2 linked regions of the Callithrix jacchus genome follow. The protein of the gene in region 1 purifies or fractionates together with the protein of each later gene. This does not show direct contact. Links are inferred from orthologs where the notes say so. Each region holds a gene or a part of one and is shown in the gene's direction. Other genes may lie near its edges. The genes, in order: TSPYL1 and DDX24.

Evidence for each region.
Region 2: the proteins of TSPYL1 (region 1) and DDX24 purify together in Homo sapiens (affinity purification with mass spectrometry; 3 studies listed by BioGRID and IntAct, counting the BioPlex papers as one, with this or other methods). This does not show direct contact. The link is inferred for Callithrix jacchus from reciprocal best matches to the Homo sapiens genes TSPYL1 and DDX24.

What each region holds. Positions count from the first base shown.
Region 1 is NC_133505.1:122,618,694-122,623,143, reverse strand, and holds the start of TSPYL1 (testis-specific Y-encoded-like protein 1), read left to right. Parts: upstream 1-1,559; 5' UTR 1,560-1,657; coding exon 1,658-2,944; 3' UTR 2,945-4,450.
Region 2 is NC_133509.1:128,882,391-128,886,201, reverse strand, and holds part of DDX24 (ATP-dependent RNA helicase DDX24), read left to right. Parts: intron 1-210; exon of another isoform or gene 211-310; intron 311-448; exon of another isoform or gene 449-773; intron 774-1,806; coding exon 1,807-2,328; intron 2,329-3,357; coding exon 3,358-3,511; intron 3,512-3,811. UniProt on the Homo sapiens protein: ATP-dependent RNA helicase that plays a role in various aspects of RNA metabolism including pre-mRNA splicing and is thereby involved in different biological processes such as cell cycle regulation or innate immunity.

The sequences.
Region 1 (4,450 bases):
AGAAGGGGCTGCTATTAGAAACAGCTTGAGGCACGCGCAGATGCAACCAAACCTTAATCCAAGGTGTATTCACTTCATATTGCTTCTGTAACAAATTACAACAAATTTAATAGCTTAAAAATACACAAATTTATCTTATAGTGCTGGAGGTTATAGGTAATAACCTCAAGGTGTTGGCATTCCTTTGGAGGCTCTAGGGTAGAATCTATTTCCTTACCTTTCAAGCTTCTAGAGGCTACTTTTATTCCTAGGATCCTGGCTCCTTCCTCCATCTTCAAAGTCAGCAACATAGCAATTTCCCTTTCCTTGCTCCCCCTCCTATTTTCCACCATTTCTTCCCTCTTTCTGTGCTTTTGTCCTTACATCTTCTCTGACTGACCCTCCTGCCTCCTTCTTAAAAGAAATATTGTAATTCCATAGGGCCCACCTGTATAATCCAGAATCATCTTCCCATCTCCAAATCTTTAACTGAATCATATCTGTGAAGTCTTCTTAGCCACATAAGACAGGCACATCTTTGAGGGCCATCAGCCTACTACCACACAAGGCAAATTAAGTGGAAAATAATGTTTGCCTCTTTTACACTTTGAGTCAACCAGCTGCATGTTGCTCTTTGCAAGTTTGTTTTCTACTTCAAGGCCACATTGGTTGTCCATTTTAATTAGCCTTTCCTCACAAAATGGTGGTATGTGGCTCCCCCAGCTGATACTTCTCTGAGGCCTTGTAACTCTCTAAGATAACACAAGTTTAACTCACAAGTTAACAAACGGGAACACTTCAACCAGAGACATTGACCTTCCTCTCTAATACTCTTAGCTGATTGCTAAAGACAGATGCCTCATTAGAGCCAAACATTCCTATCTTACTTAACTAAACATAATAAATTAAGTTTATGGGGCCGGAAATAGTTATCATTTCTTCTTTCTTGCAGTGAGGAGGCATGGAACAACATTTAGCAAATTGATCCTGGCTTAATTCCTACCGATATTATGCAGCACAAACTCTTATTTGATGGAGATTATAAATCGAGAATTAGCAATGAATAATACGCATCGCTTTAGTGGTAAGAAGCTGCTGAGTAGCTTCCCCCCACCCCCAGTAATGGTAAAGGCTAGACTTTATATTTTTATGTCACTTTTACTAAGAAGGGGAGAAACATTTTGCTATTCATCTTAGAGAAGCTTTTTGCTCCTAGTTACATGGAGTAACACGGAATAGATTTGCCTTCCTGCCTTGAAAAAAGTGAAGACCGGAAAAGCATTTGTTTTGAGACACTTAAGAGCAGGCACTGTTAGGGCTGTGATTCTACAACTGCTCTCACATGCTGGGGGCAGTCTCCAGATTCATCTCAAGGTGGGTCGTCACAGCTTCCAAACTAAGGACGATCTACATTTCTTTACGTAGGTAAAATGACTGTTGCTATGGGTAAATTCACAGAAGTAAAGCCCAGAGAATCCGGTTGGCTGGCTGGAAGAGGCGGAACCAATTCCGGGCTCAGCAAGGTCTCGCGATACCGTGAGATCTGCAGGCCTGACGACACCGCCGCAGAGACTTCCCTCAGACCCGAGGGTGGGCGGTGCGAGCGGCAGTTACCTCCGAGCGCTGCTTCTCTGAGGAAAACGGGCGTTGACCTGAGGTCGGTCCGACTGTGACCAACATGAGCGGCCTGGATGGGGTCGAGAAGACCCCTCCCGTTCAAACGCACAGCATCCCTATTTCTGACGACGTCTCGGGCGACCCGGACGCACGCCAGTGCCTGAGGCTCCGCGACAAAAGCGAGGCGACACAGGTGATGGCGGAGCTGGGTGAGGGAGGCTCGGAGACCGTCGCGCTCCCGCCCCCGCAGCCTTCAGAGGAAGGGTGCGTACCCCAGGATCCCGCGGGCCGTGGCGGTACTCCCCAGATCCGAGTTGTTGGGGGTCGCGGTCATGTAGCGATCACAGCCGGGCAGGAAGAGGGCCAGCCTCCTGCCGAGGGCCTGGCAGCCGCTTCTGTGGTGGGGGCAGCGGACCACAGCCTGAAAAAGGGCGTTCAGGATGGAGAGAAGGCCCTAGAAATCTGTGACGCCGAGAGGTCCGCGTCGGAGCTGACGGCGGGGGCGGGGACGGAGGCTGAGGAGGTGAAGAGAGGAAAGTGCGCCACTGTCTCAGCAGCCGTGGCTGAGGAGGAGAGGGCTGAGGTGGTGGTGAAGGAAGGCCTGGCGGAGGAGGAGGTAGTGGAGGAGCAGATGGAGGTAGAGGAGCAGCCGCCAGAAGGTGAAGAAGTAGAGGCGAGGGAGGAGGAAGGGCCGTGGCGTCTGCATGAGGCTCTCCGCATGGACCCTCTGGAGGCCATCCAGCAGGAACTGGACACTGTGAATGCTCAGGCCGATAGGGCCTTCCAACAACTAGAGCACAAGTTTGGGCGGATGCGTCGACACTACCTGGAGCGGAGGAACTACATCATTCAGAATATCCCGGGCTTCTGGATGACTGCTTTTCGAAACCACCCCCAGTTGTCCGCCATGATCAGGGGCCAAGATGCAGATATGTTAAGGTACATAACCAATTTAGAGGTGAAGGAACTCAGACACCCTAGAACTGGCTGCAAGTTCAAATTCTTCTTTAGAAGAAACCCCTACTTCAGAAACAAGCTGATTGTCAAGGAATATGAGGTAAGATCTTCCGGCCGAGTGGTGTCTCTTTCCACTCCAATTATATGGCGCAGGGGGCATGAACCCCAGTCCTTCATTCGCAGAAACCAAGACCTCATCTGCAGCTTCTTCACCTGGTTCTCAGACCACAGCCTTCCAGAGTCCGACAAAATTGCTGAAATTATTAAAGAGGATCTGTGGCCAAATCCACTGCAATACTACCTGTTGCGTGAAGGAGTCCGTAGAGCCAGACGCCGCCCACTAAGGGAGCCAGTTGAGATCCCCAGGCCCTTTGGGTTCCAGTCGGGTTAACGTTTGCCCTTGGGAATACTCCTGCACAAGGTCTCCTACCACCACCTGCTGGACCTGTGCTTGGGCAACAGAAATGGTATGCCTTCTACTGTGTTTTGTTTTTGCTGACTTTTCTGCACCCTCTTTCCTTTGGATATTCACTTCTCTCAACCTCAAGATTGAGACGGTGGTGGGTATGCTTCTCCACTTCCATGCTGTTCTGGAATATCACATGCTACGACGCCATCCTTCAGACTACTAAGCCAAGCAAATGATACTGTAGTTGGTACTGCCTTTATTGGTACTGCTTGGACCCTGTTAATTCCCAGGGCCTCTGAACTGGTTGCTATCACCTGGATTTCTAGCTTTGGGAGCCTATTCTATCTACTTAACACTGCATCGGGCAGTATGGGCACATGGCCTGTGGACAGTTACTGAACGTTAATGAACTCAGAGGAGAAAAGCAGTGGAGCTACTTGTTCTGTGTGATTTATGGTACTTCATTGTTCTTCCTTCACCTCTAATCACTCTGTTGCTACCTGCCCTGCTTTGGCTGCTGCCAAGGTCCCTCTCTCCCTCTTCCTTTTTGCTCCTATTTCTCTTTTTCCTTTTTTTGAGACGGAGTCTTGCTATGTCGCCCAGGTTGGATCTCCGCCTGCAACCTCCGCCTCCGGGTTCAAGCGATTCTCTTGCCTCAACCTCCCGAGTAGCTAGGACTACAGGCGCGTGCCACCATGTCCGGCTAATTTTTGTATTTTTAGTAGAGACGGAGTTTCACCATGCTGACCAGACTGGTCTCAAACTCTTGACCTAGTGATCTGCCCGCCTCAGCCTCCCAATCCTGTCTCTTTAAAAAAAAAAAAAAAAAAAAAAAGTAAAAGCTTGGAAATATTTGTAAAAGCAAACTTTAGTTTATTTTGGCTCTGTCATTTTCAGAGACAAAGAGGTTGTCCTGTAAAATACAGCTCTTATTGCTCCCCCCACGCCCCCTTTTCTCTTCCCAACTTTCTATCCCTTTTATCAACTCCTAGAATACTTAAAGGGAGACACATCTGGATGGAATGAAATGTGAGATCTAGTTTATAACGGATGGAAGAACTAAAGAGATTGTGATGGGTGCACTAAGCAGGGAAAACTGAACAAACGGCTAGAGGCATGGGCCAGGTAAAAATTGGGCCTAGAATGAAGACTGAGCTGAGGAGGAAGGAGTACTTACTCCCCAGTGGTGATGAATGGAGAAATACTTTTCTCAGGATAGTTAAAGGATAATTGAAGGGGTTAAAGTGTTAAATTGTTGCCTAGACAAGGGTTCTTTAAAGAAACACAGTGCAACCTTGAATGCTTGCTTTCTTCTTTTGTGACCGAATTTATGTGGAAGATTGTTATTTTACTAGGATTTTGTAAAATCTTATTTTTTTGGTTCTGCTTATTGTGAAAATTGAGCTGTACGTTCTTTTGATTTCACTTGGGAACATTTGGAAGAACAATAGTCTTACTTTCCTGTACAATATAGAAACATATGAATAC
Region 2 (3,811 bases), on another chromosome or scaffold:
TTGCAGAGACTTTCCACAGCATTTCACATTTCTAAAAATGTGCCCAGAGTTTCTTGAATTTTTTTATTGTGTTCTCTTTAAGCTATGTATTTCCTTGATTGTTTCTCCCTTCACTTCTTGTATCATTTTTTGGATTTCCTTGCATTGGGGCTTTGCCTTTCTCTGGTCCCTCCCTGATTAGCTTAATAACTAACCTCCTGAATTCTTTTTCAGGTAAATCAGGGATTTCTTCTTGGTTTGGATCCGTTGCTGGTGAACTCATGTGATTTTTCAGGGGTGTTGAAGAGCCTCGTTTTGTCGTATTACCAGGGTTGGTTTTCTGGTTCCTTCTCATTTGGGTAGGCTCTTTCAGAGGGAAGATCTAGGGCTGAAGGCTGTTGTTTACATGGGGTGTTTTTTGTCCCATGGGGTGTTCCCTTGATGTAGTACTCTCCCCCTTTTCCTATAGATGTGATTGATGCCTATGGATGTGAATGGATTCTATTGATTCCAGGAGTGGCATCAATAGCTGCCATCAAACTGCAGATCTCTCTTCTGGGTCTAGACAACTCCAGGCTAGTACTGGGGGTTGTCTGCACGGAGTCCTGTGATGTGAACCTTCTACGGGTCTCTCAGCCATGGACACCAGCGCCTGTTCCGGTGGAGATGGAGTTTCATCATCTTGGCCAGGATGGTCTTGATCTCATGACCTCGTGATCCACCTACCTCAGCTTCCCAAAGCATCAGGGTTTTTTTTTTTTAAACGCATTCAAATAAAAAATACTGCTACACTGTCTTCTGGCTTTTCATTGTTTCTGGTAAAAAGTCTGTTTTTTTTTTTTTTTTTTTTCTGAGACAGAGCTTTGCTCTTGTTACCCAGGCTGGAGTGCAATGGCGCGATCTCAGCTCACCACAACCTCCACCTCCCGGGTTCAAACAGTTCTCCTGCCTTAGCCTCCTGAGTAGCTGGGACTACAGGTGCGCACCACCATGCCCAGCTAATTTTCGTATTTTTAGTAGAGACAGGGTTTCACCATGTTGACCAGGATGGTCTCGATCTCTTGACCTTGTGATCCACCCGCCTTGGCCTCCCAAAGTGCTGGGATTATAGGCGTAAGCCACCACGCCTGGCCCATTGTTTTTCTTATCAAAAAGTTGATGTGTCTGTTTTTGCTCTCTTTCTTCCTTATAGTATTTTATTTTTGTGTGGTTATTTTTTACTGAGAGCTGCTTATTTTCTTTGAAAATTGTGAAAATTTTTGGGGACCTACGATAAGGGTTTCTCCCTAGAGGAAGCATTTATTGGCTTCTGCCTAGGGCATTATCTCTTTGGAACTTCTTTAAATTCTCTGCCTGAGGTGTTTTGTTTTGACCACCCAGATGATTTGGACTCTGTGTACATTGAAAGGCAAGTTTGAAAATGTTCAGGCATAGACAAAAGTTTTATATTTAAATTTTCTGAAAACTAGGAAAATTTTCTTTTAGTCCTTTCTCACCAAAGAAAGGTCTTAGGAAAGTATTGTATAGATTACCAATTTTCACCCCCCACAACAACACATAGACCCAAAACTTGTCCTTTATCTCTTCATTGTTTCATTTCTTGGATCTAAGACCTAAGAGCTAGCCTGCCATACTTTTCCTTGGGTTCTAATTTACTTGTGCCTTCTGGTTCCTTGGGGTAAAATCTGTGTAGAGTGGAGGAGCTTTCGGTTGGTCAGGGTGGCACTTGGCTACCTTACTCTGTGCAAAAGAATGAATTTCACACTAAAGTATGTTCATCTGTTGATTCATACTGTGTTTATTTTGTTTTGTTTTTTTACTTTTAAGGAAGTGGGAAAACTCTTGCCTTTGCCATCCCAATGATTCATGCAGTTTTGCAGTGGCATAAGAGGAAGGCTGCCGCTGCTCCAAGAAACACTGAAGCACCACCTAGAGAGACCACAACTGAGGCCGAAGCTGAGACCAGATCACCAGGCAAGGCTGAAACTGAGTCTGGAGTGTTGCCTGATACTGTAACTGAGAGTGAAGCACTGCCCAGTGATACTGCAGCTGAGGCAAGAGCCAAGACTGGAGGCACTGTCTCAGACCAGGTGTTGCTCTTTGGTGATGATGATGCTGGTGAAGGGCCGTCTTCCCTGATCAGGGAGAAGTCTGTTCCCAAACAGAATGAGAATGAGGAGGAAAAGCTTGATGAAGAGCAGCCCGGAAATCTAAAACAAGAGTTGGATGACAAAAGCGCCACCTGTAAGGCATATCCAAAGCGTCCTCTGCTTGGACTGGTTCTGACACCCACTCGAGAGCTGGCTCTCCAGGTCAAACAGCACATTGATGCTGTGGCCAGGTTTACAGGTGAGGTTTAGTTCCATTTAATAAATATTTTCTAAGCAAATCCCAAATGCTGGGTGGTAAAGATGAATGAGCTATGCTCCTGCCTTCTAGGGTAAGCCATTCTTACCTATGAGCCAAAGAATTAAGCCCTACAAAAATTAAGTGACATTTTCGCAATTCCCTCAAGGATAATATGTAGTTGGTGCCATTGTAGATGCTTGGGAAATTTATTGGCTACACTGGATGCTCAGGGCAGGGATTAGCAAACTGCCTGGTTTTGTAAAGTTTTACTGGAACACGCCCACACCCATTTGGTTTTATATTGTCTATGGCTGCTTTTGTACTATAAAGGCAAAGTTGAGTAGAGTTAATAGTTGTGACAGAGACCATCTGGCCTAAGAGGCCAGTAATGTTTACCAGGGACCTTTTAAGAAAAAGTTTGCTGATCCCTGCGCTCACCAATTAGGATTTAATTCTCTCAGGGAATTCACTCTGGGAAGGACTTCACTCTGGGTATTTTAATTTTATAACAAAAGCAGCAGTTAATTACCAAGTTGTTAATATGTGCAAAGCACTAAGCCATTCACCTGCATGATACTAAGAAGTTTTCCACTAGAGAAGAAAATAGAACAGGCCATTAGAGGACTTTTCAGAATAGTTCTAATTGAGGGAATGGGAAAGGCTTCCTAGGAGAGGTGTAGCACAGCTGCAGGTAATATTTCCCATAGCATTGTGATACACCAGTGTTCCGTTTTCCCAGAGCTTTGGAAGTAAGCATACATGGGTTCAAATTCAGCCCCTTTGGTGTGGTTGGAGGGGAGAGAGTAGAAAAGAAATGAGGTCAAAGAAGTAGGACCCAGTTCATAGAAGACTTGGTAAGCCTTCTAGGAGTGGCACCAGCAGTCTGGCCAGGCCTGCTCTTTTATCAGTGCTCTAGAGCATTATGCTGTGCTGGTGACTGTCTCGGCTAATCTGGGGTGCTTGTGTCATCCATGTAAGAAAATGAGCACCCAGGTTCAATAAGTGTCCCTTATGTATTCTGTCCCATAGGAATTAAAACTGCTATTTTGGTTGGTGGAATGTCCACGCAGAAACAGCAGAGGATGCTGAACCGTTATCCTGAGATTGTGATTGCCACTCCAGGACGGCTGTGGGAGCTAATTAAAGAAAAGCATTATCATTTGAGGAACCTTCGGCAGCTCAGGTAATAAATGATATCTCTTCTTTCCCCCTCACTGCCTTTTCTGAAACAAGCCTCAGGTGACATGGTGTAGGCAATGCCTTCTTCCCATCGCAGAATGCCATGGTGTGGTATCATCCAGACCCTGGCCTCTAGAAAGCCAAGTGTGCATGAGGGAGATTAGTTGAGGCACGGATGGTGGTGGTGGTGGTAGTGAGGGGTGTGTGTTTGTGTGTGTGTGTGTGTGTGTGTGTGTATGTATGTTTTCAGGATGAGAGTAGGGTGTGCTATAGATTATTCCTCTTAACCTGCTGCTGACCAGTG